Linked DNA regions of Tamandua tetradactyla. The protein of the gene in region 3 interacts with the protein of the main gene of each other region in a pairwise test. Links are inferred from orthologs where the notes say so. Each region holds a gene or a part of one and is shown on either strand. Other genes may lie near its edges. The genes, in order: SFR1, AIRIM, RINT1 and EPC1.

What was found.
Region 1: the proteins of RINT1 (region 3) and SFR1 interact in binary tests that used the Homo sapiens proteins (3 or more experiments, as listed by UniProt). The two-hybrid records come from large-scale screens. The link is inferred for Tamandua tetradactyla from reciprocal best matches to the Homo sapiens genes RINT1 and SFR1.
Region 2: the proteins of RINT1 (region 3) and AIRIM interact in binary tests that used the Homo sapiens proteins (3 or more experiments, as listed by UniProt). The two-hybrid records come from large-scale screens. The link is inferred for Tamandua tetradactyla from reciprocal best matches to the Homo sapiens genes RINT1 and AIRIM.
Region 4: the proteins of RINT1 (region 3) and EPC1 interact in binary tests that used the Homo sapiens proteins (3 or more experiments, as listed by UniProt). The two-hybrid records come from large-scale screens. The link is inferred for Tamandua tetradactyla from reciprocal best matches to the Homo sapiens genes RINT1 and EPC1.

What each region holds. Positions count from the first base shown.
Region 1 is NC_135339.1:66,210,609-66,218,051, forward strand, and holds the start of SFR1 (swi5-dependent recombination DNA repair protein 1 homolog), read left to right. Parts: upstream 1-4,441; 5' UTR 4,442-4,736; coding exon 4,737-4,760; intron 4,761-5,420; coding exon 5,421-5,537; intron 5,538-6,125; coding exon 6,126-6,536; intron 6,537-7,443. UniProt on the Homo sapiens protein: Component of the SWI5-SFR1 complex, a complex required for double-strand break repair via homologous recombination. Acts as a transcriptional modulator for ESR1.
Region 2 is NC_135328.1:187,625,198-187,633,188, forward strand, and holds the start of AIRIM (AFG2-interacting ribosome maturation factor), read left to right. Parts: upstream 1-4,980; 5' UTR 4,981-5,007; coding exon of another isoform or gene 5,008-5,136; 5' UTR 5,137-5,272; coding exon of another isoform or gene 5,273-5,369; 5' UTR 5,370-5,378; exon of another isoform or gene 5,379-5,389; intron 5,390-5,468; exon of another isoform or gene 5,469-5,687; 5' UTR 5,688-6,193; intron 6,194-6,368; exon of another isoform or gene 6,369-6,371; 5' UTR 6,372-6,374; coding exon 6,375-6,649; intron 6,650-7,991. Other genes in the region: CDCA8 (borealin), read right to left, coding at 2,765-2,805, 5,008-5,136, 5,273-5,369. UniProt on the Homo sapiens protein: Part of the 55LCC heterohexameric ATPase complex which is chromatin-associated and promotes replisome proteostasis to maintain replication fork progression and genome stability.
Region 3 is NC_135327.1:143,943,115-143,950,995, forward strand, and holds the start of RINT1 (RAD50-interacting protein 1), read left to right. Parts: upstream 1-4,881; 5' UTR 4,882-5,076; coding exon 5,077-5,118; exon of another isoform or gene 5,119-5,186; coding exon of another isoform or gene 5,187-5,204; intron 5,205-5,625; coding exon 5,626-5,674; intron 5,675-6,000; exon of another isoform or gene 6,001-6,217; intron 6,218-6,864; exon of another isoform or gene 6,865-7,121; coding exon of another isoform or gene 7,122-7,131; intron 7,132-7,881. UniProt on the Homo sapiens protein: Involved in regulation of membrane traffic between the Golgi and the endoplasmic reticulum (ER); the function is proposed to depend on its association in the NRZ complex which is believed to play a role in SNARE assembly at the ER.
Region 4 is NC_135327.1:218,877,557-218,884,954, reverse strand, and holds the start of EPC1 (enhancer of polycomb homolog 1), read right to left. Parts: upstream 3,013-7,398; 5' UTR 2,713-3,012; coding exon 2,560-2,712; intron 2,157-2,559; exon of another isoform or gene 1-2,156. UniProt on the Homo sapiens protein: Component of the NuA4 histone acetyltransferase (HAT) complex, a multiprotein complex involved in transcriptional activation of select genes principally by acetylation of nucleosomal histones H4 and H2A.

The DNA.
Region 1 (7,443 bases), on a different chromosome or scaffold from region 3:
TGCAGTTTGTTAAATGGACAGGCTTCCTAAAGCCTATGAAGCTCATCTTTGCAGACAAGAACAGAAGAAGCATTTTACCACTTCCTTATGAATAACAAAGTGACCAGCAGTAGCCTTGGGTATCAAAATTTAAAAACACATACACAGACATCCTAATTTAGCTTGTGCATATCTTCAGCAACATAGGAGTTGAGTTTTAAATATCCAACATTTATACAAAGGCATAGATATACAAATATCACAAAAGATGGTGTTTATAATGCTTGAAATTAAACATTTACATAATAATTAGCAGTTCTCGAGATGCTGACATCTAATTCCTCTTTTTACCAAATGAATACAGGGGTGACATATTGGAGTAAATAAAGGATCTGGGAAGGATGTGGCCCTGAGCAATGCTTTTATTCCCATTTTCTTTCTACAGTCTAACTCATCTATCATAACGTCCCACATTCAGGCTCCCCCACCCTCACAGTTATTAATCTAACCTGAATCAGTCTATTCTTCTCCAAGAGAACACACCCTATAATAGCAGTGAATCATAGACACTCTTGCTTCTCCAGTCTTTAATGGATTTGACAAAATGCCAGGTCTGGTGGAATAAAAGCCAGGAATTACAGATGAGGGTAACTCTTTAGGCTCTTGTTTGGTGTAATATCCTGAACATTTTATTTGCCTGGTATGGAAAGGTTTTGATCACATTAAGGTATTGACCCTATCATATTTCCATGTTCTAAGTAACCATCCTACTCAGTAAGACAATCTCTCAGGCATGCTAAATCAGGGACTCTTTTATCTTGGGATTGAAAATAAAATCCTCTCTTGCTTATTTTGGCTAAAGAATATTAAATAGATTATCCACAAAGGCCACCCTTTGGTAACAAGGCACTGAGAGTCTTCAACAGTGTCTACGAGTGAAGCAATTATGCATGGAATTTCATATAAGATTTTTAGGTAATAGAGAAAATAGAAATAGATTGTCAATTATCCTCAAAGGGAAATTTATGAAATTACAGAGACTAAAACATCTCTTTATTTGGTAGGTCTGATAAAATGTAACTTGAACTCATGGCAAGAGGAACCTACAGAAGAGTTTCTGAAGGTGATTTTCAACTTATACGCAAACGTCACAAAAAATATTAAAACCAGTTAAGAATTTAGCACATTATATTGTGTGTTATAAAACTCTATGAAATCTATCTAAAAAGTTTAATTTCTCCTTCGCATTATAAATCAACTTAATCATGTGGATTTTGCACAATTCCTCACCCAAGTAGATTTAATTCTAATTTTAAAAGTGTATTTTCATTATATGTTATTTTTCACAATAAATTTTTTAAGTGTATTTTCATATCCTTGTTTAAAAAATACCTATAGATGCATGATATCAAAATATTTTTCAATGCAGAAAAGCCAATGAATTGCATGGAATTTAGGTCACCTTGAGGTTACTGTTAAGATTTGAAAAATAAAGCTACAGTCAAGAATTAAAAAATAATAAATCTTGGTGGTGCAATGGTGGCTCAGCAGGCAGAATTCTCGCCTGCCATGCCAGAGACCTGGGTTTAATTCCTGGAGCCTGCCCACGCAAAAAAAAAAAAAAAATCTACTGAACTTTTTTTTTGTTTTAATTATGAACTTTTTAATGGTGGTTAAAAGATGAGTATGTGTGTAGAAAGAGAGGGAGAGAGGGGGAGGGAGAGAGTGTGTTCATTATTCTTTTCATTATTCTCTCCTTCCCATTAAAAAAGTAGTTAAAAAAAAGTCTCATAAAGATTTTAGGTTTATGTCATCACCCCACCAACAATAATCACAGACAAGAACAGAAGAAGCATTTTACCACTTCCTTATAAATAACAAAGTGACCAGCAGTAGCCTTGGGTATCAAAATTTAAAAACACATACACAGACATTCTAATTTAGCTTGAAATTAATTACTATTATCTTTGAATTCTATTGTTCTCTATTTGGTAGGGTAAGGATAGCTCACTGGGACAGTTTTTTACTCTCTTGAAAAAGTTTCATATGAAACATATAATATCCAGTGTCAGAAACACCGAACTGCTTTATAGACCAATAGATTTCAGGGCCCTTTAGGGAAATGCATCAAACGATACAAAGAAAACTACAGGGACAGATCTCAGATCCCTTACACTAAACTGAGAGGGGAAGGTTGGTTTCCACATTGGTACGTGAAGGGAGTAAGTAAACACAAATTTATATAAGGAGAGAGCATTCAGTTTTAACAGTGCATGGAAGTCAGAGATATAGGTCAACGAATGCACATTTCCGAAATATATGTTATTCTAGGTACTTATTGTGAAGTTCTTTGAAAATCTGGCCCAAACAATCCCATTTTAATATACCAATTCACTTAAAAATAAGCAAGTCCGAACACTTGCTGGGCAAGATGTTATTTTCCTTTACGAGCCAGCAAAAACACAGCTCTAAACTTAGGTTGTAATGATAAAAGGATTTGGGAGCAGCTGACTTTAGGGAATCATAAAAACAATCCACCCTTATGCCCCAAGGTATATAGAACATGCAGAGTCTGCATTGTGCTTCCAGTGCCAGGACAAATCGTTTTGCTTTTTGCAGTGAGATTACCTGATGCCAATGGGTAAGTTAAGAGAAATTAATGTACAGATTGAGACCTGTGGTCTCGCCTGGTGAATAACTCCAGTATCACAAAGTCATGAGCTCTCTTCTTTGACTTTGTAAATTCCTTCAGGTTAACTTTTATAATTAATGAAAAATTTAGAAGTGGAATTTGTGTTATTGATTATATAGAGAGACACCAAGATTTCTGCTATTTAGGGTTTAATTTGTGAGGGAATTTTCAGAACACAGAATCTTTAAAAAATAATGTGGCCTTATTTTGGGCAGTGTGAAGGAATGAAAGAATTGAATCAAGTAGGGAATGGTGAATATACCTGCATATATAAATTGGAAACTATTGATGTGTCGATGTCTAATGTTGCTCTAATTGCCTCTCAAGAATTCTCATTTAATCCTCCAATCCCTTAGGAGTAAGATACTATTATCCCCATTTTAAAGATGAAGGAACCTATCAATACACAGAGACTGTACATTATTAGGTTTAAAAATAATGGAGTCAGTATTTGAACCTGTGCAATTTGACTCCAAGGTTTAAGTCCTTAACCACTGAATTAGATTGTCTTCAGGTTCTGTATTTGGACTCCACAGTTTAGGACTCAGTTATTTCCTTCTCAGCTCTGACTACCTCTAAGCCATTATTTTGGAAATTACACTATAAATAGCAATCTTATCTTATTTTTGACAAATTTTACATAGGATCTGTATTTCTCCCTACATAAGAGAAAGTTTAAGTAGCACCAAAGAGCTCAGATATTAGTAAAGATACAAAATTGTCATTCAATAGAAGACTCAAAGCACTGGCCCCTTAAAATTCTCAACATTCACTTAACTCAGAAATTACTCTTCTCTCTTCCCCTAAATCCAGTGCTCTACCCAATTCAGTTAACTGCATTGTTGCCTAGCAACATAGGAAAGGAAGTGGATTATCAGAGACTAAGATTTGCTGCCAGCGCTTCAGCAAAGACCTCTGTGCCTCAAACATCCGAATTCTCGATCAATACCCTCCTATTTAGTGACTGACTGCTTCTTGTACAGCTCCACAACAAATTTCCTTGCATTAAAATTTCCCTCAGATTTGACTAAAAGATTTGAAGCCAGACTAAGGTGTCTAAATTTTCAGGTAGATACAGTATTAGACAACGTGGTGGCGAGACTACCAAATTTGCAGCAGCATAGGTTAGAAACTAGTTGGAAGTTCGCTAAGGCTCTTGGATAAATGTATAACATGTCGGATTCTCACTATGTCATGTAACCCTAAAGCTGCTCTTTCGAAGTCTCTGCCTTTGGAGAGTTTACACATCGTAAATTTAACACACAGCTGGGGGGCTATGTGTCCCGTCAAGTAAGAGGAAGAGCCTTTGCTGTGGTGAGCGAGAGACCAACTGGCGGCCAGCGGAAAGGGTGGCGCAGGGGACGACCACTCGTTCAGGCGTACTTCACAAAGAAAAGAAGGAGGCGGGGAGGGAAGGCAACTGAAGATAAGAGAAAGAAAGCGAATCTGTAAGAGGAAGCATGCCCTCTTCATAATCACTTAAGCCTTGTGAACCTCAGCCCTGCCCGGAACACCGAACCGAAGCTCACAGCAACGCGCGCGTCGTGTTGCGGCTCTGGGAGGCCGGGCGGAGCAGCGCGCGCCAGCCAACCCGGCAGTCACGTGTCCTTCCAGGCTCTCGGGTGGCCCGCCCCCTCTTCGTTGCCGGGCGGAATAGGTTAGCGCGCGCCGGCCAGCCCGGCCAATCACGCGTCTGTCCCGTATCTCGCGTGGTTTCGACCCGTTTTGGTTGCCGGGCGGAACGGAGCAGAGCGGGCCGGTTAACCCGGCCAATCACGTGTCTACCCGGTTCCTGGTCAGCTGGAGGCTTTCCGCCGCGGAGGCTCGCGAGTTCTGCGGGTTCTGGGAGTGGTGGAGGGCAGTAACCTCCTGGGCAGCAAGTGGTTGTGTGAGAGTGGGACTAAGTCCGGGGTTTGCTGTGGAGTCGAGTTAAGCCCCGGTTCTGCAGTCAGGGTACCTCACAACCCACCTCAAGGCCCGGCCTCTCGAGGGCTAGCCTGGTATTTCTGCAAGGGTGGGCAGGAAGGGAAGGACACCGCCCACTCGGTTCATCTTGGTAAAGTTGATGCCTTTGTTTGAGGAAACAAATGTCAGTCGACTCATTTTCAGGGTTTAGTTACAGTAAAATGATGCAGACGTGTAAATTTCCCTCTGCTTATGTCCCATTTGCCTCAGCCCTGGGGGGTCGTTGATCCCCCTCTCAGGGGTGGTGTGGCAGGTCTGATTGATTTGGGGGTCGAGATTTCGGCCGTGTTTCCTTTCATTATGAAGCTGTCATACTAAATTGAAGAATTCCTGACTATCCAAAGTTATTTTTCCCCCATATGTCCACCAAAGAAACGTAGGGTCTTTATTGCTAGATTTATTTACATAAATAATGTTTATTTCGTAATGTTTTTAATGTTTTGTGCCTATTTAACCCATGAGTGCAACATTTAGAGAACGATTAAGGAAGACAAGATGTGACAGAAGTTGGAGATATTTTTGATAAAAACAAACAGGGAGACTTGTTTAAATGAGATACTTAGCCAATTAATCTGTCATGAAAAAACTAGTAGTCACTTTCATGTGGAAAACAGCCCTGCAAAAGAGCAGAAATGAATTGCAACTAAATGAAATTAGAGGAAATTACTGGCTTACTTGTGGGTGTTATATACAAGAATCAAAATTTCTTTGATAAGAATTGCAGATTATATAGAGTTATGGATTAATTTGATTTCCGTTTTGTGGATATTTTTCATTTTTACAGGTAAACCAGGATTTCTTCTACAAGATGGAAAGTCCATCAGACTCAGCTGTGACGTTATCTACTATGTCACAGGACTATGAGGATCAGTCTCCCCATACCAATAGTTCAAGGCAACAAGTAAGAGAATATTAATTCTTCCAGTAAATCCATTCCATATTTCTAAGTTTTGGAGGTAGCAGCTTTAAGTTTACTGAAGATTATTAGTATAATATGTTTCATTAAAAGGTAAATGTATTTTATTAACTATTAAATAATTTTAGATTTTTCTCTAACATAATGTATTTGATCTCAAAATTCTCATCCTTAATTCATTTAGTTTCTCATTGGTTTATTACAACAGAGAAAGTTTAAATCTGTGCAGTAGTTATCATTATGAAAATCTTTGGTGGCAGGACCTAGGTTTTTCCTTTAATTTGTAACTCTGAAATGCACATAGAGTAGTTAGACAATGCTAGTAGCTCAACATATGTTTGTGGTTACTGGGATAAGCTTAACACTCTTAATGGTATTATTGATCAAGCTAAAGTAAAAAGAGTAAAACTAGCGGAGCTTCTGGGAATTAAAACAGTTTTGTGGTGGTTACTGTAAGCAAATGGAGACAGGAAGCCATCTATTGGTGTCTACCAGAGAAACGTAGGGTCTTTATTGCTTGATTTATTTACATAAATAATGTTTTTTTTTCCTTAATGTTTTGTGCCTTTTTAGCCCATGAGTGCAACACTTAGAGAACGATTAAGGAAGACAAGATCTTCATTTCATTCTTCTTATAGCGTGGTAAAACGTCTTAAAGTAGAGAATGATGAAAATGATCAGAACTTTTCCAAGAAACCAGCATCTTCAACAGAAGAAAACTGTTTGGAATTTCAGGAAAGTTTTAAAGACATAGACAGTGAATTTGAAGAAAGCACATATTTGAAAAATACCTTCAAGAATATCAATACATGTGAATCTAAGTCACTTGATTTGGGGTCATGCGTTGCTCTCCAAAATGATTTTGTGAGTGAGAATCACCCTAAACAAGGATTCAAAGAAGAAAAAACAAAATTGTTGAAGCAGGTTGAGGAGAAAGAAGACCTTCTTCGAAGGCTAAAACTAGTCAAAATGTATAGATCAAAGGTGAGAAGAATTTCAGAACTATTACATAATATTTGTTTTTATTTAAGAAATTACATTAAAGTAATTTCTAAAGTAGAAAATAAATTTAGTTTAGCATAAGAAGCAATAAGCCACATATCCAGAAATCTGGATTCCAGTAACTTTAACTCAAAAATAATTAGAAGGGGCCTCTAAACACCTAATAGAACATTGGAAAGTCTCACCTAAAGCTACTCACTTGATTCTCATTTAATGTACAATTGGAGCTTTTCTCTCTAGTTTCCAGCCTTGAGCAATATTAGAAATATCAAATGGTAGATGCAAGTACAATGGGAACAGAAGGGACAGCTGACAGTGAATAAGTAAAAAAGCTGAAAGTGGGCCAGAGAATATAATAAAAATTATCTTTAGTAGTGATATTGTGTTACCCCCCCCAAATAATTAAAATGTTCCAGGCATTCTGTTTGAAAATACAACAAATATGTATTAAATTTTATATTTAAATCCAGATAGGTTGAATAAAATCGAATTTGGGCACTTGGATTATGACTTACCTGGATAATTCATATACATGCAATAGCTCATTCTCCACTAGCAATGTGGAGTAAATGATGGATTAGCATGTGCCATTTGTTCTTTTGAATTTTTAGGATTTTTCTGAACATGACTACTTGAGTTTTATAAGATTTTGAATGTTGAAAATATCTTTAATTTGAATTTTGTGTTATTTTAAAGTATAGTTGTACTAGGAAAATAGATTTTTTAACCTATATTGTTGTAAAACATAAGTTTTACCCTATTTAATGAATTTTTTTTTCCATGAGGGGAGGGATGGCTCAACGCTTGGACCAAACACAATAACCACAGAATTCAAGTTGAGTGGCTTTGTAACCATTCTTATTTTTCTCTGGGTAGAAGGCCCATTCAT
Region 2 (7,991 bases), on a different chromosome or scaffold from region 3:
AAGATGCTGTGCTAGATCTTAAAGTTTCTCAGGAGCCTTACAGGAGTATTGCCAGAATACCAAAAGTTACTTGGACTCAAAGTTACAGGCAAACCTGCAGAAAATGATACTACGTTTGGAGCTCTCAAACGGAAACGAAATACTGAAATCATGATGATGGGAACTCGTGAGGAGAGCTTGGAAGATGTCTGAGGTCCACCACCTGACAAGGATGATCATGTCATTGACTTGGATATTGAAGATGAAGTAGTTGAAGTAGAAAATAAGAAAGAAATCCTGCTGAAAATTTCTTGCAGAGTTAAAGAATACAAAGTGGAAGTTCTGAATCCTCTCCAGGGAAGGGAAAAAGCTTTTGGTATTAGCTGTTGATTATACATTATTTGGCCACAGGTCTTGTGTAGAGACTAGGTTAGAATTAATGCGGCCCTATCTTCAAGAATTCCTAACACCTGAATATGAGGGTTATGACATTGTTATTTGGCCTGCCACAAATATGAAGTGGATTGAAACTAAAATGAAAGAACTGGGAGTAAGCAAAATGCAAACTGTAAGATTATCTTCAAGTTGGACAGTGCTGCTATGTCAACAGTACATACTCAAGGAGAGGATTAATCGACATAAAACCTCTTGGTGTTAAGTTTTTGGATTTTACAGTAAAAAAAAACACCATTACGTTTGATGACATAGGAAGAAACGTTCTAATGAATCCCATAGAATGAGCTAAAGATAAGACCTTTTATGAAAGCTCACCTAAATCGAGATAAAGACAGAACTTTTAAAATTAACTCAGTACTTCAAGGAAAGAGCAAAATTAAACGACTTCTTGGAGCTAAACCACAAATACTGGTAAAGGTATTTTTCAAAGAAACAAGGACAGTAGTTGTAAACTATAAAACTCATACTTGAGGTCCATGAACTTGTTGCTTTTATGCTAGAACTCATTATGATAGTGCCAGACACTGAAGCAAATGCCACACTGCTTATACTTGGTCTTCCAATTTTCTGTAAATTTAAGTTTATGTTTCTTGAAAGTCATAACAATATGCTAAAATAAGTCCATTTCCCCTCTCTATTTATATATACTGTTACTACTGAAAATTATTTTCTCCAGTATTGATTACTGAGCTTTTTTCCAAAAAAAAAAGAGGAATGTATACTGTCATTTTGTGACTTATGAAACAACATATCTTTTATTTTGTCTCACTAAGTCTAAGACCAAACCCATCTCGAAACTAGTGTTTTCCTTTCAAAGCCAAAAGAAAAAAAAGAAGTTTTTGAGTAGGAAAATTAGTTTGGTATGCTTAAGATTGCCAATAATTTTTTTATCCCTTTGTCATACACATAATTTCTCTTCTGTACTCTATTATTAAGATCTCTGAATTCTAAGCTGTCTCAATTTGGTCTGTATGTGTTACAGTATTCTTCGAATTAAACTGGAAAATATTAGCTATGATTCAGATATAGTATGAGAAATAAACCTTAAGACTGAAGAATAAAGCTAAGGAACAAGAGTGTCTCTTTTTGGTGGCTAAACAGAAGCACTTCTACCTACAGCCATTGTCATCAAAGCAGATAAAGACACTAATTCAGTGGAACATATCACTGATTCATTCCTATAAAGCCTGAACAAAAATTCTTTTCTAGCAATACCTTGTCTATGTAAAAACACTGTGTTTCAATGAAAATATCTAGCTTTAAGATTAAAAACTATATATTTGCAGCTCTTAAACCTGCACTATAGATATGTGATGTGACCAGTTTGTTTACAGTATTGCTTTAAATAGTTCTTGTATTTGAAAGGAAGCTAATCCTTTCAAATAAACTTGGTGCATATTGTTCTTACAGGACTATTTCAGAGAGTAAATAATAGAATACCTTTTCTTTAAAAGATAAAAATAAATAAATACGTGTGTTATGTGCATATGAGTATGTATGTATGTATATGCAACAAACATTATATATGCACTTAATATTTTTTCCAAATGTTTGCATGCTTAAAAAGTATTTTGTTTGCTTTGCTTGTTTTTGACTGCATTTGTGGTTGTAGCTAATCTCTTTTCAGTGCAATATAACAGTTTGTGTGACTATATCACAAGGGATTTATTCATTCTCCCATCGATAGTTTTTTGCTACTATAAATACTGCTACCTTGAACTGTCTTATATATGTCTCTGGAGCACACATCCACGTTTTCTCTTGGCTATATACTTAAGGATAGGGCAGTACAGGGTTGTAGATTATTCAAGGGTTCAGCCTTGATATTATGCCAAATTGCTTTTCAAAGTGGTTATCCTTGTTTACATTGCTTCAATATTCAATACAAGTTCCTAACGATCCTCTACAATACCTGGTCCTGTGTCATACTTCTCACTCTTGGCAAGTCTTGAGACTCTCAATTATCATGAGAAGCCTTCTTCAAAAAGGCTTCCAGTGGCCATTCTAATTAAATTTGCTCACAGTGGTAACTACCTGTATGTATGGGTATAGCCAAGAGCAGGCATGATTCCAAGTCCTTTCCTCACAGAGCACATACAAATATCAGAGTAGTAGTTACGGCAGGAATGATAAAATCTGTTCTATAACTCAGAACTCAGAACTATTCGGACTTCATGTACTCAGCATCTGATACTACAATTTTTCAGTTGACATGAACAGATAATGTTCCCTATGGATCTCTTCCACAACAAGCAACCATTGGTTGGATTTTATGACTAGACTAAGGATAAAACTAACCAACAATTAAAAAATAGGAGCGGTTACTTACCGTTGCTGCCTCTTCTAAGGCCTGCTTGTTTCCTCCAAGGGCTTTAAACAGAACATTTTATTTAGTTACTATCAGATTTTAACAATAACTCACCTTCCCTAACACTATCAGTTATTTCTAAAACTGGACATGATTAAACCCTTGGGCCAGAATTCAAGAACCTTTACAATCTAATCTTTCTCCAACCTTGACTTCTCCTCCTATTCATTATGACCTACTCTGTGTTCCACCACATTAAGCTTCTCATTTCCCAAATGTGCCACTGTCGCTCATGACTTAGTGCCTTGATACTTATTATTTCCTCTGCCTGCAGTACTTCTCTGAACCCAGCAAACTCCTAATTCATCCTTAAAACTCAGGTCAAATGTCATCACTTCAGAAAGTTGTCCTATGTATCAAACAATCCACCTACCATGCTTCACTCAATCTCAAATCCCTACTCTACAGATACGGAAACTGAGGCTAAAGAGACTAAGCAACTTGACCAGGATCACAGAGCTGGTATATGAAAGAACTGAAATTTGAACTCAGGTCTACCTTTTCCCTAAATTTTAGCTTATGTTTCTATAAAGCAGGGTGCTACAAAGAGCTAAGTTAGTTGCTCACCCTTTTCCTCCACAACAACTACTCGAAGTTGTTCAGTATCTAACTTTGCTTTGGGCTGTGAATTCCTTGAGGACAAAAATAATATTTTCATAGTATCTGGCAAAAATCTGGAATATGTTAAGTGTGCAGCAAATATTTGCTTAACAAAGAGATCTTTCAAAGATTTAGAAAGAGAATATAAGTTAGGATGGGCCCTCCTGCTAGAAACTCTCATAGCATTCTTCCTATATAACAGTTAAGAACTCAGACTTCGGAATCAGAATGTCTGGGTTCAAATATTCTGCCACTAACTAGCTTATGAGCCCTTAAGCAAAGTAACTAATCTCTCTGTGCCTTAAAAGAGATAATATTAATAATTAATAGGCTTATAATCAATAAGTTTGTTATGAGGATAAATCTAGTAAACATACGTAAAACATATGGTATAATGCCTGTGTGACATAGTAAACATGACAAATGTGCTTACTGACTGCCACTCAATTTTAATTATATAATAAGTGTGTGAACTTTTAAATGACCCTACTCCACTAACATCAGTTCCTGAGGGCAGGGACAAGTGTGTTTTATTCCTCAATGCACTTTTCAGCACCTAGCATTTTGACAGATACCTGCTCAATGAGTATTTGTAGAAATGAGCAAATGACTAAAAGAGTAAGCTAAAAGGATCATTACATGTCTACTGCATACACAGAACCTGCATTTCTATCCAAGGAGGCTACCTACTGGGTAATTAAGAATAGAGGAAAAATTAAGGATAACTTAGCACAAAGGGCAGCCTCCTGCATTTCCTTAGACTTTTAACAAGGCAGTGGGGAAAAGACAGATTTTCCTCTGGCCAGGAAAAGTCTCAGGTTCTTGTACTACACAATTTGACTTGGCCATTTTTAAACTGGCGGTTTTCATAATCTGCAGGAAGCACTGCCTAGGGGTTATCCCTCTACCTGGGCTCTAATAACAAACCAAGTTTTTCATTTAATCATTTAACAAATATGTATTGAGCACCTAGTACTTGTCAGCTCCTCTTCTGGCTACAGATGAAACAGACAAAATTCTTACTCTGCCCTTATGGATTTACAATCCTGGTTGTAGGGTGAAAGGATATGTAACCAACAAAAATAAATACAGAAAATATATATTAGACTAAATCAGGGGTCAGCAAACTGCTCCTGTCTATTTTGGTATGGACTGCAAGCTGCGAATGCTTTCTACATTTTAAAATGGTTGGAAAAAAATGTCAAAAGAAGAATAATATTTCATGACACTTGAAAGTTATGTGACATTCAAATTTCAGTATCCATAAATTTTTTTGTGGAACACAGTCACGTGCATTCCTTATAGCTGCTTTGGAGGTAAAATACCAAAATTGAGTAGTCGCCAGAGAACCTTCTGGCCTACAAAGTCTAAAATATTTACTATCTGGCTCTTAATGGAAAAAGTCTGCCTACTCATGGATTAGATGGTAATAAGTGCTATGGAGAAAAATAAAGAGGCGCTGGGCAGGAGGGCTGCAGTTTTCAACTGCTGTCAGGGAAGACTTCACTACGAGGATGACGTTCGAGCTAGTCCTTTATAAAGCCTGTCACGGTAACCACAAGGGGATCCAGGCCAAAGCCTAGGGCCATTCCAGCAGCTCTTACCGAAGTAGTCCAGCCAATTCATCTCGCGCAGGGCCTTAGGGAGCCGCAAGATCTCGATGTTGTACAAGTTATCCATCTCTTTGAGGAGGTTCTGCCTGTCTGACTGAATCTGCTTGGATCGCATTTGCACTGCGAGAGGACAGAATCAACAGGATACGGGTCACCCGGCGGGTGAAAGGGGCCTGGAATCTTGCTCCCTGCTCCCCAACCCACCAGGGCCCAGCCATCGCCCGGGAAGCCGCGACCACCCGGCTGTGCCCCTTACCTTCGCGGTCGAAATCCTTGAGAAAGGAGGCGAGCTTCCGGCTCCTCAAAGAGTTGGTCTTGGTGGTTCGTCTGCTGCCCTTCCTCGCAGGAGCCATGACGTTTCGGTGGGTGGAGGCTACGGGGAGGGGGGACCGAGTCACAAGAGGTTAGTGGGGCAGTAGAGAGAGGGGAAATAAGGGGGCCGCGACGGGGCGGAGGGGTGGGGGGGGGGGAGGCCGGATAGCGTCCCAAGGGAGTCAGTAAAGGGGATTCCCTCCCTTCCGGGCCCGGGCTTAAAGAAGAAGCAAAGCACGAACCTGCGGGTCCCCAAACAAGGGCAGAGGTAAACCTGCTCGCTCCGGCTGAGACGGACTGGCTCTGAAGCGAACCGGACCTACAATCGCCGCCACCAAATTCAAATCCAACTTCCCCAGGTTAACGAATGAGGAGTCGCCGTCTTAGAAAGGTCCCACAACATCCAATCACCAGGAAGCTCCAGTATCCGGCGGCCAGTCCGCGCCCGGGACTACAACACCCAGAAGTCATTGCGGGCCGACGACGCTCGTCCGCGGCTCGCAAGACCAGGTGGTCTAGTGAGGCGCTCTCGGGGAGGTCGCTTTGGGGCGGGTGCAGAAGGACGCGAGCGCGCGGTGGCTGTCCCATCGGCTGCCGTATCTTTGGTTGTCTTAATTTTAGGTTTTTTCCCCCTGGTTTAGGGAAAGGGGTAGGCAGCTTCAAGGAGGGGAGATAAGATTCCGGATCCGGGAGCATCGGTCTGAGGGGAATACAGAGTTTCTGCCCCGGGAACCCGCATTCTGAGCCAGGAGATTGACCTACCTCTGAGAGATAGTCGGGAAACCCTGCTCGAGGTGACAAACAAAAGGGACTCTTCCCAGAGCCCTTTGTGAAGGAAAGACAACGCTTCGCGCCGGGAGCTCAGGTCTGAAGGGATAGACAGACCTGCGTGAGGAACCCCCTGGTTGGAGGGTGGAAGCCAAGAGCTTGACCTCACAGGAGGACGAAATAATTCCCACCCTTGACCCCGTTCTCCCCATTCTGACTTGGGACCTTAACACTTGTTGTTGTTTGTTTCTGTTTTTTGCTTTTGTATTCAGCAGAAGATGACTCAGGACCGGGCATCTCTTGCTGTGCAGGAGGCCCTGAAGAAGTGCTTTCCCGTGGTGGAGGCGCAGCACAGCTTGTGGCAAAGTACTCTGAGGGACTGCCAGCCCCTCCTGGCTTCCCTCAGCAACTTGGCAGAGCAACTACAAGCCGCTCAGAATCTGCGGTTTAACGAGGTGCCGTCGCTCCGGGCCTTCCCGGACTTGAAGGAGCGGCTGAGACGCAAGCAGCTGGAGGCTGGTGACACTGTCCTGGACAAGCTCGGGGAGAGGATGTAAGAGGCTCAGAATTTTTCACAGAAATATTTTGAATCTGGGTGTTTGATCAGTAGCCAGCACCTGTCAGAGAGTGTTTATCTCCTTACATGAGAGTATGACATTAGAGAATTCTCATCCTTCTTTTTCTGCCTGCTTAGCTGGACCTTTGTCAAAAAGCCATTTTCAGACATTTTCCTTGTCAGAGGCTAATATGGTAGTGGTGAAATTAGTTGAGGTCACAAAAGCGGAACAGAAAAGCTGGTATCAAAGGAGTGGAGGAAGCTTATCAGCACTAATTGATAGTTTTTTTGATGAAAAGCAACGAGGAGCTATACTGTAAACCTAGTAGGTGTCACAGCTAAGGCTTATTTTGTTTGTTTTATGCTGTCTTTTTTATTAGAGAAGTTGTAGGTCTACAGAAGAATCACACATAAAATACAGTTTCCATGTACCACTCTACACCTTGCATTAGTGAGATACATTTGTTACAATTGATGGAAGAACATTTTTACAATTGTACTGTTGTTAAATTGTCCATGATTTACATTAGGCTCACTGTTTGAATCATATGGTCCCATATTATTGTTGTTTTAAATTTTTGTTCTTGTAACATATATACAACCTACAATTTCCCATTTTAAGCACATTCACGTACATAATTTAGTACTATTAAATGAGTTCACAGTATTGTGCTACCGTCACTACCATCCATGACCAAAACTTTTCCATTATCCCAGACAGAAACTGCACATTAAGCGCTGATTCCCTTCCCTACCCCCATCCTGTCCCCTGGTCACTTATAATCTAGCTTTTGACTTTGAATTTGCTTATTCTAATTATTTCACATCTGTGAGATCATACAATATTTGTTCTTTTGTGTCTGACTTATTTCACTTAACATGATGTCTTAAATGTTCATCCATGTTGTGCCATACATCAGATTTTCATTTCTTTTTCACAATATTGTATATATACCACATTTTGTTATTCATTCATCTTGTTACTTCCATCTTTTGGCATTTGTGAATAATACCACTGTTAACATTAGTGTGCAAATACCCGTTCGAGTCCTTGTTTTCAGTCTTAAATAGAAGTGGGATTGCCACTTGGTCATTTGGTAGTTCTATACTTAACTTTCTAAGGAACCCGCCAGGCTCTCTTCCACATGGCTGCATCATTTTACTTTTCCACCAACAGTGCCTGAGTCTCCACATCCCCTCCAACACTTGTAATCTTCCACTTTTTAAATAGTAGCCATTCTAGTGACTTTTAAAATATTAGCCATTCTAGTGGGTGGGATGCGGTATCTCATTGTGGTTTTGATTTGCATTTCCCTGGTGGCTAATGATGTTGAACATC
Region 3 (7,881 bases):
GATTGAACATTTCTAAAGACTTGTTTTAATTGGGACATTTTTAATAAATTGCTAGTTTAGCTTAGAACTATAAACTAACAACTTATTAAATTCCCCTTTTTAAAAGCCATTCTGTTTCTGGTATATTGCATTCCGGCAGCCAGCAAACTAGAATGGGGGTAAGGGTAAAAGAAATTAGGTAGATGGAAATACTGGTGGTCAATGAGAGGGAGGGGAAAGGGGGATGGGATGTATGAGTTTTTCTCTTTTCTTTTTATTTCTTTTTCTGGAGTGATATAAATGTTCTAAAAAATGGTCATGGTGATAGATACACAACTATGTGATGATACTGTGAGCCATTGATTGTACACCAGATATGGAATGTATGTGTGTGAAGATTTGTCAATAAAAATATTTTTTAAAATAGAGAAATCGTCACGCATATACAGTACATACATGGTATATAATCAGTGGCTCACAATATTATCACATATTTGCATATTCACCATCATGACCATTTTTAGAACATTTGCATCATTCCAGAAATGGAAATAAAAAGAAAAAACTCATACATCCCATACCCCTTACCTCTCCCTCTCATTGACCACTCATACTTCAGTCTACCCACATTTTTACCCTTTATCCCCCCCCACCCCGTGCGTGTTTGAAAGGCGTATGTACCCTAGAAAAGCCATGTTTTAATCCTATTCTATCTTGGGGAGGCACCCTTTCTTTTAATCCCTATTCAGCACTGCAGGTTGGAAATTTGATGAGATTACCTCCACGGAAATGTGCACGCCCAATTTTGAGTATTAACCTTTGAATAGAGGGAAATGTGACTCCACCCATTCCAGGTGGGTTTTGATTAGCTTACTGGAATCCTTTAAAAGAAGAAACATTTTGGAAAAAAACTTGAGAACCATAAGAGCCCACACAACCAGAGACCTTTGGAGATGAAAAAGAAAAATGCCCTGGAGGAGCCTCATGAAACAAGAAGCCTGGAGAGAAAGTCAGTGGGCGTCGCCATGTTTACCATGTGCTTTTCTAGTTGCTTTTCCAGGTGTGAGAGAAACCCTGAACTTAACAGGCCTTGCTTGAGTGAAGGTAACCTCTTGTTGGTGCATTATTTTGGACATTTTTATAGACTTGCCTTAATTTGGATATTTTTCACAGCCATAGAACTGTAAACTTGCAACTTAATAAAAAGTCCCCCTTTTTAAAAGCCATTCTGTTTCTGGTATATTGCATTCCAGTAGCTAGCAAACTAGAGCACCGTCTATTATTTATTATTTTTATCCTTATTTTTTTTTTACTCATCTGTCCATACTCTGGTTAAAGGGACATCAGACAAGATTTTCACAATCACACAGTCACATTGTAAAAGTTGTATTGTTATACAGTCTTCTTAAAGAATCAAGGCTGCTGGAACACAGCTCAACCATTTCAGGTATTTCCCTCCAGTCACTCCAGTATACCATAAACCAAAAAGGGTTATCTATATAATGCTTAAGAACAACCTCCAGGATAACTTCTCAACTCTGAAATCTCTCAGTCACTGAAACTTTGTCTCATTTCTCGCTTCCTCTTTTGGTCAAGAAGGTTTTCTCAATCCCATTATGCTGGGTCCTGGCTCATCCATGGACTTCTGTCCCATGTTGCCAAGGACATTTACACCCCTGGGAGTCATGTCTCCTGTAGGGAGGAAGGGCAGTGAGTTCACCTGCCGAGTTCACCTCTCTGGCTTAGAGAGAGAGGCCACATCGGAGCAACAAAAGAGGTTTTCTGGGGGAGACTCTTAGGCGTAATTGTAAGTGGGGTTAGCTTCTCCTTTGCAGGAATAAGCTCCATAGGGGTGAGCCCCAAGATTGAGGCCTCAGCCTATTGAATTTGTTGTTCCCATTGCTGTGAGAATATCAGGAATTCCCCAGATGGGGAAGTTGAATGTCTCCTCCTTTCTCCCCAGTACCCCAAGGGGACTTTGCAAATACATTTTTATTCTCTGCCCAAATTACTCTGGGATGTAGTGTTACATCACACTAAGCTGTACAAACCAACAGGATCTCATGCCCTATTCATGATTCCATGTAATTATGGTGTTTAAATAAACTGATCATACAAATTAAATTAGGAAATGCACTACCCAAAATATAAATTTTGCACCAAATAAACATTCTCCCTTTGGTCTCAAGTTGAAGTTTTAAAATATGGGCCATATTATCCTTTACCCTATATTCTGATTTACCTTAGTTCTATCCAAGTCAGCTTCATTCATATCTCTAGTTGAAATCTGATCACTTTTTCAACTTTTTAAACAGTTGCTGTATAGGGTAATGCTGACTTCTGTAGCTTCAATGCTCTAACACAGAGTTTCAGGTGTCATAAACATACCCGAAGTTTCAGGGAATGACCAGGTTATACTCAATTAGCTAAGTATCTCAGAATTTAGAAATAACAGTTACAATTCCTGAATATGTGTGACTGCTGAAAGAGCTTATAATTTAGAACCCTTTACAATAGGCCCCAACCTGACAACCCATGCTCTTGATTCAATTTTTTGAGTTTATATAGTATAGCCAGTCCATGTGAGTGAGGCATGATCATATTTCTTTTTGTTTCTGCCATTTGATTCAACATACTGCCCTTAAGTTTCATTCACCTAGTTGCAGGGCTTACAATTTCATTCATCCTTGCAGCCACTCAGTCAGTTGTACGTATATACCACAATTCCCCCTTCCTTCTCTCAGTGGTTGTACCCTTAGGCTACCTCCATTCATTGGAAATCCACCAACCAAGTCCCATACCTATGCCCCTGGCCCTAAAGCCCCCGAAACTCCTAACCTACCACAGGGGGCCCCGTAGGCATCATCAGCACCCCCACTAGCTAGCCTCTATCTAACCCCACCGCCCCCAGGGGGGCGTGACTTCCCCGCCCGCACCCTGAGCACCTGGACCCGGGAACTCCCCCAGGATAATAAACTTTTTTAAACTTGGACTCAGTTCCTCTGATTTTTCAGTTGGCTATCGTTTGAAAACATAACATTATCTATTGACTTCACTTAATGGAAAATGAGGATTTGGTTCTTCTTCCTTTCCCTTATCTTCATCACACTTCTCATATCTCTATCTGTCCAATAAAGTTCTTTTGTGCTTGTTTTTAGAGCTTTGTTTACTTCATTTTGATGAGGTAAACATTATTCACATCTTAGGTAAGTAATAAACCATGATTACTTCACTTTTCCTTCAAGCTTTTGTTTTTTTCTATAGTTAATGATCTTCTTTTGGTTTACTTATTCATCATTCCAAATCCAAGCTCTCTACTAATTGTTGAAATCTCCCCCTCCAGAGGATGAGATACATGAACTGTTCTATCAATTTCTTCTTTCTGAAGAATCTCTTCTGGAACCTTCTGACCTGTGTGGCTCTATGCCTAGTGCACAATTATGGCAATTCACTTTATTTTTCTCCATTGTTTATTTTCTATTTCCTATATCCTGTGTCTTCTTTTCCTTGTTTACTCCCTCATTTTAGGGGAGTACAACCTCTTGCTACTTCCTGAGAAAGGAGAGATAAATGAAACATATATTTTTTTAATTCTTGAATATGTGAACATATCTTTATTTCAGCTCAATCAAGTATAGGATTTAGTTTGAAATAATTTTCCTTTTGAAATGAGAATTGCTTCTCTGTTTTTAGCTTCCTTTGTTATTGTTGAGAAATCCAAAGATTTGTTGAGAAATTAACTTTGTAAATTATCTATTTTTCTCTCTGGAGGTTTAGGATCATCTTTTTGGCCCCCATGTTCTGTAGTTTCACAGTGATGAGCCTGGACACTTAGTGGGCCCTTTCAATCTGGAAACTCATGACTTTCAGTCTGGGGAAATTTTCATGAATTGTTTTGTTGATGATCTCCTCCATGCTTACCTCTTCTCATTTTCCCTTTCAGAAGTTTTATTTTTAGTTTTGGAACCCTTGGACTGGTTCTCTAATTTATCTTTTCTTTTCAATTTTCTATCTCTTTGTTCTTCTGCTTTTTTTTAAAGGATATTTCCCAACGTTTATCTTCCAACTCTTTCACTGAACTTTTCATTTCTGCTATCATATGTATAGCTGCTTGTCTTTGAATGCTACTTAAAAAAAATCTGCTCTTTTTTTTTATGGTTGTGATGGTATCTCATACCCCTCTCAGGATATTCATAATATATTTTTTAGTGTTCTCCTCATTGAACGGTTTCTGTCTCCTCTAGCTTTCTTAATTGCTCAAGCAAGTTGTCCCCACCCCCTTGTGTTTTGGTTTTTATCGTACTATTTTCTGTGCTAGTTTGTTTGTGAAATTGTCAAATCCCCAGGTCCTCTCTCTACTCCTTGCCACTAGGTAACTCCTCTTTCTCTTTCTTGTCAAAAGATAATTTGTGTGCGTATGTGTGTGTGTTTGTGTCTGCACTGGGCAAAGTGTATGTTAGATGTTAGGTGCTGCGACCTCTTCCTCCGTTCAGCTCTCAGAACACTTACAATCAGATCTGCATCCTCCAGGCAGGAAATTGGACGATCATCCGAAGAAAACCTGACCAGCCTCAAAAGAAAGATCCAAAAATACTGACATTGGAAATTCCCCCAACTAAATAGCCCAAACTAACGGCTCCTAGTCGACAAGCTCGCTCACACTTTCGGAACATCTTTAAGTGGAAGCAGAAAAACGAAGGACATCATCTTAAATGTAAATTTAAATACTTTATACTGAATTTGTGGCGTGGAGGGAGGAGTATCGTCAAGCTGCATAATAGAGCGCCCCAACGCCGCGTACGGGGCTTTACCATGGTTGAGAGGAACCTTACTCCCTGCAACAGAGGCGGCTGACTCAGTTCCTGGCCGGCAGGGGGAGCTACGCCGCGCGGCCCGCGACTGCGCGGACCCGGCCTCTCTAGTCGGAGAGGAAGAAACCAGAGAGACGGTAGGAGGAAGTCTCGGTGGCGTTTGGTGTTCAGAATTGAAGTCTGTAAGACTGATCTGGTCTTTCGTCCCGGCAAAGTCTCTGGCCCGGGCTGTATTCCACAGTCCACACTGGCTGCGCATCAAGCCGAGAACACGCGCGGAGGCGGGATGCTCACGGCTGACGAGATCGGCGAAACGCCCGCAGCCCCGGTGAGACGTCCGGGTGAGGGGTCAAAGTAAGGTTGCAGAAACCTCCCGAGAGAGGTAGTCCCGGGAAGATGGCCCTTGTGACCTCGGTAAGGTGGCCCGGGCCACTCCGGTGAGATGGTCCCACAATCCCCAGGGAGGTGGCATTGGTGGCCCAGATCTCCCGAAAGGGTTAGTTCTGGTGAGAGACCCTACAATCCGGGTAGGTGACACGGGCGGTCCCGAGGGAGATGCCCTTGCAATCCTAGTGAAGTGGCATGGATCTCCCGAGGCATCTTGTCCTGGTGACGTGGCCCTGGCAGCCCGATGAAGTGGCTCTGGCAGACCCGGTGAAATGGCACAGACCTCCCAGGGAGGTGGTCGTTTTTGAAGCGGCATCGGACCATTCTAACCTTTCAGGAGGGCACCAAGGAAGGGGTCTGGGACTGCTCGCCCGTCCAGTAGAACCCTGCCTGAGTTCCACCCAGAACTTGGGTCTTAATGTGTTTGTCACACCTCCTCTCCTTTCAGTGCTGTCCTCAGAATGGTGAAGAAGAAAGGAAGAACGTCGAAGAAAAAAGTAAGCAGGCTTCAAACACCTTAGTTTTTTCTGCCCGGCCATCACTGAAAATTCAGCCTTCCGAGGTCCACATCAGAGAAGGGGTCTTACTTATCCTGTTATTTTTAGATGAGGCGTCTTTTTTCTGTACAATAAGCTTATATAATATTAAATACTGGTTATTTTACACACATTTTTGTCTTAACTTTATAAAATTGTAGAATATGGGATGCTTTGGAGAAGATCACTTCCTGATCCCTACTTAGTGCAGGGATTGGTGTTTTCCGTGGAGTTCTGCCCATCATACAGGATTCAAAATAACCTGGGGACCTGCCTGTCATTTACAGTGAGTGAAACACCAACTCATTAAGCATCATGAAATTAGGAGGGACTAATTACCTAGGAGATGTGACCACCACCTTAAATGGATTCGGAAGAGTCAAATGATGACTATTTAGTTGTACTTTTAAACATCAGTGTATTCGCAATTAAAAATTGTCGTGGGATGAGCACAATGGATTATATATAATCTGGATCTTGATCTCAATGCAGAAGGTGTATAAGGTCAGTATCTGCCTTTCCTCCCTAGGATAGAAAAATATGTCAGGATATATATGTTTGTCATTTTACTATCATGAACCGAGCATGGCAGACTATTGGAAATAGGAATCATCAGAAACTTTTGAAGTGAAAATTTATTGGGAGAGTAGGAGGGAAAATACATAATAACTATTCTGTTAGGAGCCTTTTGGTTCTTCTGACCATGCAAAAAGTCTGCGAAGAGTAATGGTAACACTCTTGTACCCTTGTACCCATGTTACCATATGGCCTTTAGGAATCAAACTTACCCTTGACATTCCCACCAACGTATTCTGCCCCAGAAAGAAAACTCTAAGTAGTGCTTAGCATTTCACATTCATAGCCACCAGAATTCAGCTCTTTTTCCTTGAAGGATTTGAGGCTAGGACCCTCCAACTCAAACCCTTCCCTTTTGTACTTTTTGCCCCATTCAGGTACCTGGGAAGTTTAATACCTGCTGAGCAGTCATTTCAGTAAAATGATAGATGTTGATTTTAGCATTTGTCCTGTCTCTGCCTTGGTGGCTCAGTTAATTACTTTGCAATTTGGAATGCTCTTTACAAAAAAATAGAGAAAAATAAAAACCTCCTGTTTTAGCTTCCTTAGTTGCTCAAGCAATTACCATGAATTCGTTGGCTTAAACAATGGGAATTTATTATTTTACAGTTTTGAGGGTAAAAGAAAGTCCAAATCAAGGCAATGCTTTCTCCCCAAAGACTGTGGTATTCTGAGGCAACTGCTGGAGATCCCTTATCCTTGGTCCTTAGCTTGTCATGTGACAAGGCACATGGCAGTGTCTCCTGGTCTCTCCCTTCTCTTCCAGGTTTCCCAGATTCTCTGTTTCTGGCTGTTCCCTCTGTGGCTTTCTCTTTGTCTGAATTTCATCCTGTTATAGAGAGCTGTAGTAATAGGATTAAGAATCATCTTGATTGAGGTGGGCCACACTTTAACTGAAATAAAGTCATCAACAATACCTACTTACAATGGATTCACTTCCATAGGAATGGTTTAGGTTTAAGAACACATTTTTCTGGGGTACATACAGCTAAAAATCACCATACCTTCTAAATCACCAATGTGCCATTTTGAAAAATGTTATTTGATTAAGAATGTACTATGCTGGGTGGACCATGGTGGCTCAGCAGGCAAGAATGCTCGCCTGCCATGCCAGAGGACCCGGGTTCGATTCCCAGTGCCTGCCCATGTAAAAAAAAAAAGAAAAAGAGAATGTGCTATGCTGCATTTAAATGGTTACATCAAAAGGGCTTAATTTTTTTTTTAATATGTAGATATAATTTACTTCTTAAGGTACAGCAACAATAGCATTCACAAAACATCCTGTTTCTTCATAGCTCTACCTCCATTTGTCTGCAGATATACCACACGACTCACTTTTGTTTTATATAAGATAAATAAGAAAAGAAGGCATTGTGACTTCTGTACATAATAGTGATGGATTTCTGAACTAATAAAGTTTTGGTGCAGGCCAGCCTATTCTCCTCATGTGTGAAGAAGAAGAAAATATTTTGGGTTAAGAGTTTGGAAAACATGAATTTTAGTCCAGTTTCCAACTTCTAAGAGTAGCCTGAGGCAAATTTTATAGATTTATTTTGTAGTTGGGAAATTGAGCTGCAGTTTTTTGTTAGTTT
Region 4 (7,398 bases), about 75 Mb from region 3:
TAATAATTACTAGGGATATTTCACGACAATTCTACAGATGCATTTTGTTCCTGAAATGCTTTATTAATGAAGCAGAGTACAAGAAATTGTCCTAATCCATATCGGCCCCATCTTTCATGACCAACATAGGATTATTTACTTTTTCTAAATTAGTCAATTCAGGCTCTAGGTCACTCAGACCCAAGAGACAGCATCCCTAATGTGTCAAAGGCAGACGTTTGTTTTAACCTTCTTCTTTGTAAGAAATAAAAGATGCTTCAACAAATTATCAAAAGTTCTTGTTTTTACAAGATTAACTCAGAATTCAGTTACCTTTATTTATGCTTAGCTTACACATCCAATATTGTAACCATGCTAGTTTCAATACCACTATTTATATGTTCTACCACCAGCATGAACCACAGGTTTGTAGAGCAGCTTGTTTGTTTACCTGGTACTTTTTACATCCCCGTTAAGTTCGGTATCTACTCTTAAGCTATGCTTCACTGATCATACACATAGCATTCGGTAGATGAGAACTGAAATTCTAAACAGATGATGTTAAAGGCAGTCTAAAGGAAAAAAAAATCCCTATGTCCCTCCACAGGGACTCCACATGCTGTAATGCTGCAATCTAATGAGATCCATTCACATTATCAAATGTCAAAATAATTTCAGTGAACAAAAATTATCTGTAAATTTAATAAGCATTGATGCCTCAGTTAAGCGTAGCTCTAACTTTAGGTGGTAGCTCTTGGGACTGTTCAAAGTATTCATAGAAGCAAAGACTTAAACTGTACTGTAGTGTTACCTTCCTTTAATCAAGGCTCTCCCCTTGGCTGTAAACAAGAATTACAAATTAATTTCCAAGGTAGTGTAACACCAAAACCCCAACTTGAAAAGTATTATCTGCAAAACTTATAAACAGAAACAAAAATAAAACCAAAAGACAAGATTCTGCAGTCACAAGTATTTTAATTTTTAAAAACAAATCACTTGTTTAAAAATAAACAAATGGTACCATTCTACTCTAAAGTTGATACAAGTAATAAATTAAGAGATGCTGTCTCATAGACAAGGTGCTAAAAGTCAGTACTACACTAGACAATCAACTACTACATGCACTTAGCTTATCTGTAAAATAAGATTTAACACACTACTCTTAAAAGTAACATTCGCTGTCACAACTATTGTACGTTGAAAGGTTAAACGACCCAAACAAGTTTAAACAGTTTTATTTTCAAAAACATTACAGAGTATGATTACTACATTCAAAATTCTTACAGTACCAAAGAGAAGCATTACAGTACAATTTTCCACAACAAAATTGTAGCATATCCACGCGATTCCTCGACTTCCTTGAACTGTCAATACACTGCACCCTGTTTTAATGGCTGTACCTGAAAACCAAGGTATGCAATTCCTTAGGATTAGACGTTATCAAGTTATACTGTCAAGGATCTGGGGGAAATGAGAGGAAGATTCTATTATCCTTGTGTCTGAACCCAACTTCCACAATAAGGTGAAGCCACAGCTATAACAAAATGTCTATTAGCTGTAAACAAACATTTACATTCTGAAACCCACCCGATTTAGATATTTCAATGTTAAGACTATGACTTCATTAAACTTTAGTTTAACTATGGATAAGAAAATGACCCTCTTCCTAAATTTAGATCTATCTAATTGGGTCTTTTCTCCCCCCACGTTGTGAGATCAGAAAGCATAAAAACTTAAATTTTACAGAAAAAAAAATACATTAAAGTTATAGGCTTTAAATAAGAGCCACGTATTCCAAACGTATCTGCAACATGTTCTCAAGGATCAAAGAAAAAATCAGAGATAGTAGTTGATCATCCTCCGACTAACTAACATTGGGAGGGAAGGGATGGATGCAAAAGTCCCAGAAAGAGAATACTGCGAATAATTCTAATCTATGAAAGTCGTCAGGGCAAACACGCAGTAAGCTCGACACTCCGTTGCAGGGAGGGGGAGAAATAAGCCTCAGAGACCAGGCCCCCTCCGAGACTCCGTGTGGGGCTGGTTCCAGCCGAGCAAGCTTTCCCGGCGCCGGGGAAGCCGAACCGCCCCATTGCATAGACCAGCGTTCCCCAGCGCCAGCAGCGACGCGGAGGCCGAGGTGACCCTGGAGCGCCACCCAGCGGCCCGCGGAAAGGCCTGCAGGCAGGTCGTCCTGCTCCGCGCCGGGCCCGCCGCACCCCGCCGCCCAGCCCGCTCCCCTCTCCGGATGCACAAGGCCCAGCCCAAGAACTAAAGACCACAAAATGGCTGCCGGCGGCTTCGTCACGTGACCCCTTTGTGCCTTTCGGGCCCCCGAACTCCGCGGGACCCGGGTACCAGTGGCCGGGGTCGACGGGTGGCCTCAGAGGAGGCCCTACCAGGCCGCGGCGGCCGGGGTCGAGGCTGGGGAGGGCGGGGTAAAGACCCGGCCGGCAACTGAGAGTCGGCGGGGAAGAGAAGATGGCGGCCATTTTGTGTGGGAATGCTGCTCCGTCGCCGCCGCAGGCAGCACAGGGAGCGGGGCCTGGCGGTGGGTCGGACAGGGGAGTTAACACGTACCGACTCCTCTTCCTTCTCCATTCCGGTGGGCATCTGCGGCACGGCCCGGTTTATCGAGGCGTATTCGTGCAGGTCTGGCAGATCCTCACAGCGGAAAACCGGCAGCGGCTTCGAGGCGTCTAGCGCCCGCGCCCGAAACGACAGTTTACTCATCTCAGGCGCAGCAGATACCTCTCCGCTCTGGGGAAACGGCCCCGGCCAGCGGGATCATGGAGAACCGGGGGTTCGGTCCCCACTCGCCTACCGCTGCCGGGGACTTGAGGGACGGAGCGCAGAGCCCGCTGTCCGGGCACTAACACCAGCCGGGAGGGTGGGAGTCTGTGCCGCTCCGCTCCTCTCTCGCTCGCTCTCTTCAATACGCCATGGCCAACATGGCGGACATTAAAACTCCACTGTGCGCTCTTCAGCCAACCCCAGCCATTCCCCACACTGCATCGCGCAGCGGCGCGGGCACGCGGGCGGGGGGGGGGGAGCGCGGGCTCGAGGCCGGCGCCGGCACGGAGCGCGCGTCCCGTCAACCCCCGGCTCCCGCGGGCCTCGCTCCCCGCGCCTCGCTGCTCAGGCCCCCGCCCGCCGCCGGTCGGGCGCGACCAGGGCCGGGCGGCCAGCTGGGCCAGGCGCTCAGGCGCCGGGAGCCGGCTTCTTGGGCTTCCTCTCCTCTTCGCGCACGCGCTCACTTTCTCACGCTCGCTCCCTCTGACCGCTCTCTTCTGAGAGGCGAAGGAAGGTGCAGGAAAACTATTTCCACTCGCCCTCGGGCTTCTCGAAAGGCAGTGCGGAGAGAGTCGCGGGGCGGCGGCCTTGGCCGGGCTCGCTCCCTGCGGCTCGGTCCGAGGGCTCGGGCACCTGCCATCCCGGCCGGCGCGAGGGGCGGGGGCGACGCCCAGGCTGCCAACGCCACCTGCGGCAGGACCAGGGACAGGCGTTCCCGAGGTGGTGCGCACCGGTGGCCAATTCGTGGGCGAACGCATAGCCTAGTTACCGCGGCAAAAATACAAACGAAATTAGGGGCAGAATGTGACTCGAGTGAACTTTTACCCGCATTTTTTTTTTTTTTTACGTCTAATGAACTTGGGTTCTGTCATTTGATAGGCGCCTCATCAATTCATAGGTCAGTTTCCCTCCCGCTGGTTTCCTACTCCAAAGTATTTTTTTAAGCCTACATTTTATCTTCCCATATTAACTCTTTTATTGTAATTGGAGCAAAGAAAGGAAACTGGATACTGTAACCTTACGAAGAAAAAAAATTAAAGCAAGATCTTCTTCAGAGTTTAACAGCCTATACTTTATACTCAGCTTGTGATTTTTGTACTGAAAAGAAAAGGCGACTTCAGCATAGCCATGGGTTCTTTATCATTTGTTCAATAAAAAAAATTATATATTTATAAAACTGAACCATATAGGCTGCCAGGCGCCTGCCAACAACACCCCATGAGCGCGCGCGCGCGCACGGGAAACGAATTATTAGAAGAGATTTAGATAGATGTAATACATTGCTGACATTTGGTTTATATTACACAGGAAAATGAATGTCCAGAGAACTCTCTCCAGAGTAGTATTTTAAAAATCGTTAAGATTATTTGGGTGGCTTTAATGAGGTGGCAACAAAATTTCACATCTTTTCAAAAGATAACGAAAGTATTTTGTAAGTCTGTCCCTCACAGGGAGAGGATAGGGCTACATAATAAAAATAACCAGTGTTCTTAAATATTGGGTTGGGTATGAACTATTATTAGCTTAGGGCACTTAAGCAAACTGTTATCTTCCAGGTTGGTTTAACTATACTCAATGGGGTGGGGAAAAGACAAGGAGAGGCATAGATTGTAGTTCTCCAAAATTATGCTAAAACTCTGTGAGGCAGAGGGACTTTCACCCACATTTTCTATACCAAGACTGCATTTATTCATCCAAAGAGCAAACCTTGAGCCCTTGCTCTCTTCCAGTTGTGCTGCTGATTGCTCAGCACCCAGAGGGCTCCAGGAGGAAGGACCTGTGAATCACAACTGCCACACTTAGCGGTAAGTTGCTATGATGAAATCCAGGCTAGTGAGAACAAGCAGGAATGGCACCCAACCCATGGATAGTGGCTATAATGAAAGCAGTCAGGGAAGGCTTCTTGGAGATGATGCAAAAAACAACAAAACACACAACCAACGAACCAAACAAACAAACAAAAAACTAGAAGGAAGCACTTGCAAAGGCTTATGCCTGAGACACTCAGCATGTCACATTCTGGGAACTTCAAAGAACTGCCAATTCCACTGTGGAGCATGACTCCTATTTAGCCAGATTTAACAGTTCTGAAAATACTGGCTGAAATGAGTATAACAGTTCTTTCCATCTAGCCTAGAATATGAGATTCCCCGAATCCCAGTAGTTAAATTTGTGACTGAGGAACCTAAGACTTTATAGAACAAAATAGGGTCTTAAGTTATGAGTGAACCAAGGAAACACATCTTACCTTCATTAAAAATAACAGCTTATGCATAACATTTTCCTCATACTACATTAGTAACAAAATCATTGTACAGGTAAGTTTTCTAAGAAACTCTAGCGTTGCTCTCCATGACAGGTTTTTGGAGATGCTTACACATTTTTCAGCTTGCTTTTTTTGCAACTAATATGCTAGAGACATCTTTTTTTCTGCATTGATTCTCCATCCAGGTCCTCAATGTCCTGAATTTCTACCTCCCAGTTCCTACTGGGTTCTTAACGACCCAGAAGCTGAAGTCCCAAGCCTCTCATATATTTGGTTCACTTCCCTCCCTCTTTAGAGTCAGGTGTGCAGAAGGGAAAATACAGATTTAATTTTCCTCAGCTTCCTTTAACCCACCAAAAGATTCTTTGCAAAATACCTACTCCTGCAATTTCTTTTACTTTAACTTTCTCTTCTACTCTCAACTTCTTTTTCTAAACATCAACAAAAGTGATATGAAATTCTCAACATTGCAAGAAAAATTCTCAACATGATGCAAGAAACGTATACTAGTATAAAGCTGAATAACATTTCCTCAATGGGAAACTCTTTGTTGGAAAGGTGTTTGCAGTTAGTTAAAACACCCTTCATTCATGCCACAAATACTTATTGGATAACTAGGCAATACACGGTACCTCACTGTAAGGGATACAAATAAGATACTGGCCAAGGGATAACCAGTTAACCAAATGACCAGTACTAGGTGGTATAGTGAAATGTAGTGAGTGCTATGGGAGTTTAGAAAAGGGTAGAAGGGCATTCACAGGAGGAAGCAATTAAATGAACAAAAGTTGGGGTTGGGAAGGGCAACTGTTAGGTGTGTTTGAGGATGAGGGGGTTTATTTTGGCCAGCATTCAGTAGAGAACTCCTACAACAATCAAAGTATTATGCAAAACTGGTAAGAACGTGAGTGGAGGGAGTAGGAGTAGAAAGTAAAGAGGCCTAAGTTTTAGTGGTAAGAATTACAATATCATCACCCTGAAAGGTGATTTGTTTTGAATGCAGAATTACTGCTTTTAAAAAAATCAAACACTTCAAAGAGAGAACGTTTCAAATACAACTGCTCTGACACTGCATTTTGCATTCTATAATAAACCTGAAATAAGGCTCTGAATATTAGCTTACATCCAGTATATCCCCTAGTCCATACTTTCTTCTTTGAAAATAGAAGATTTGCCTCTATTCCCATTTCCACTGTCTCAGACATGGTTCAAGCTTTCATCACATCACATGTAGAAACAATCTTCAATCCAATCCACCTTTTATTCATTCATTCCCTCAATCAGCCTTTATTCCCTATATTGTCAAAATTGCTGGTAATCTCCCAATAGTGACTAGTGGTAGTGGCTGGTAGAGGCGTGGGCCCCTGGGGAGTTAGTCATGAAACTCTGCCCTCCAGGGTTTCATGGTGCAGTGTCTGCCACCAAACCACAACTACTCTTTATTTTGTTCGTTAAATAAAGTAATTCTTTGGTAGGTTGTTAAGACCTCCCATAATTTTGCCTTCTCTATCCAACATCAGACCTCTAAGACAAATTCTTCATCCTGGCTTCTGACACTGTCTTTAGAACTCATCACATGTTTCTGCCTCTGATTTTTCACTCTTTTCTCTCTGTCTTCCTTCTCCCCCTTCAGACTAACCATCTACTAGCCACCGAAGTCCTACTTCACAGAATGTCTCAGGGTTGAATAAAATCCATGTAAATCATTCAAATTGTCACTTGGCCACTGCGAACCCTTGACAGATGTCACTATTTTTAATTATTCTTCAAAATCCAACTCAAATATCATCTCCTCCATGAAGCTTTCTTTAGCTATTCAACATCTCTGGGCCCTAACTTCCTAGTTTCAAGAATAAGGAAACTTAGGTGAACTAAAAATAATTCTTCTTAAGCCTATGCCCATCTTTCTCATCTCCGAACTCCTATTATACTTTGGATCATTAAGAATAATAACTACCATTGATTGAGCCTTTGCTATACACCAGCAGTATGGAAGTGCTTTCAATGTATTCTCTCATTTAATTTTCATGAGAGCTCTATGAGGTGTGTCCTGTAGAGAGATATTCACCTTAGAGAGGTGATATGACCTGCCTGTGGTTGCAAAGCCAATGAGAGGTGATACTGAGATTTGAATCTCTGGCTGTCTGATTCCAGAATGGGGCCAAAGATACTAGGTTAAAATTAATTAAGTGAATGCAAAGTGAGAAAAGAGAGATGTTCAAGGTAGACTACTCTTTCATGCAGCTTGGCAATGAAGGGAAGGAGAGACACAAAGCTATTCAGGCCAAGGGTTTTATTGCTTTTGAAGATGAAAGAGATGTGTGCATATTTGTATACTAAAAGGAAAGACATAGGAAAGG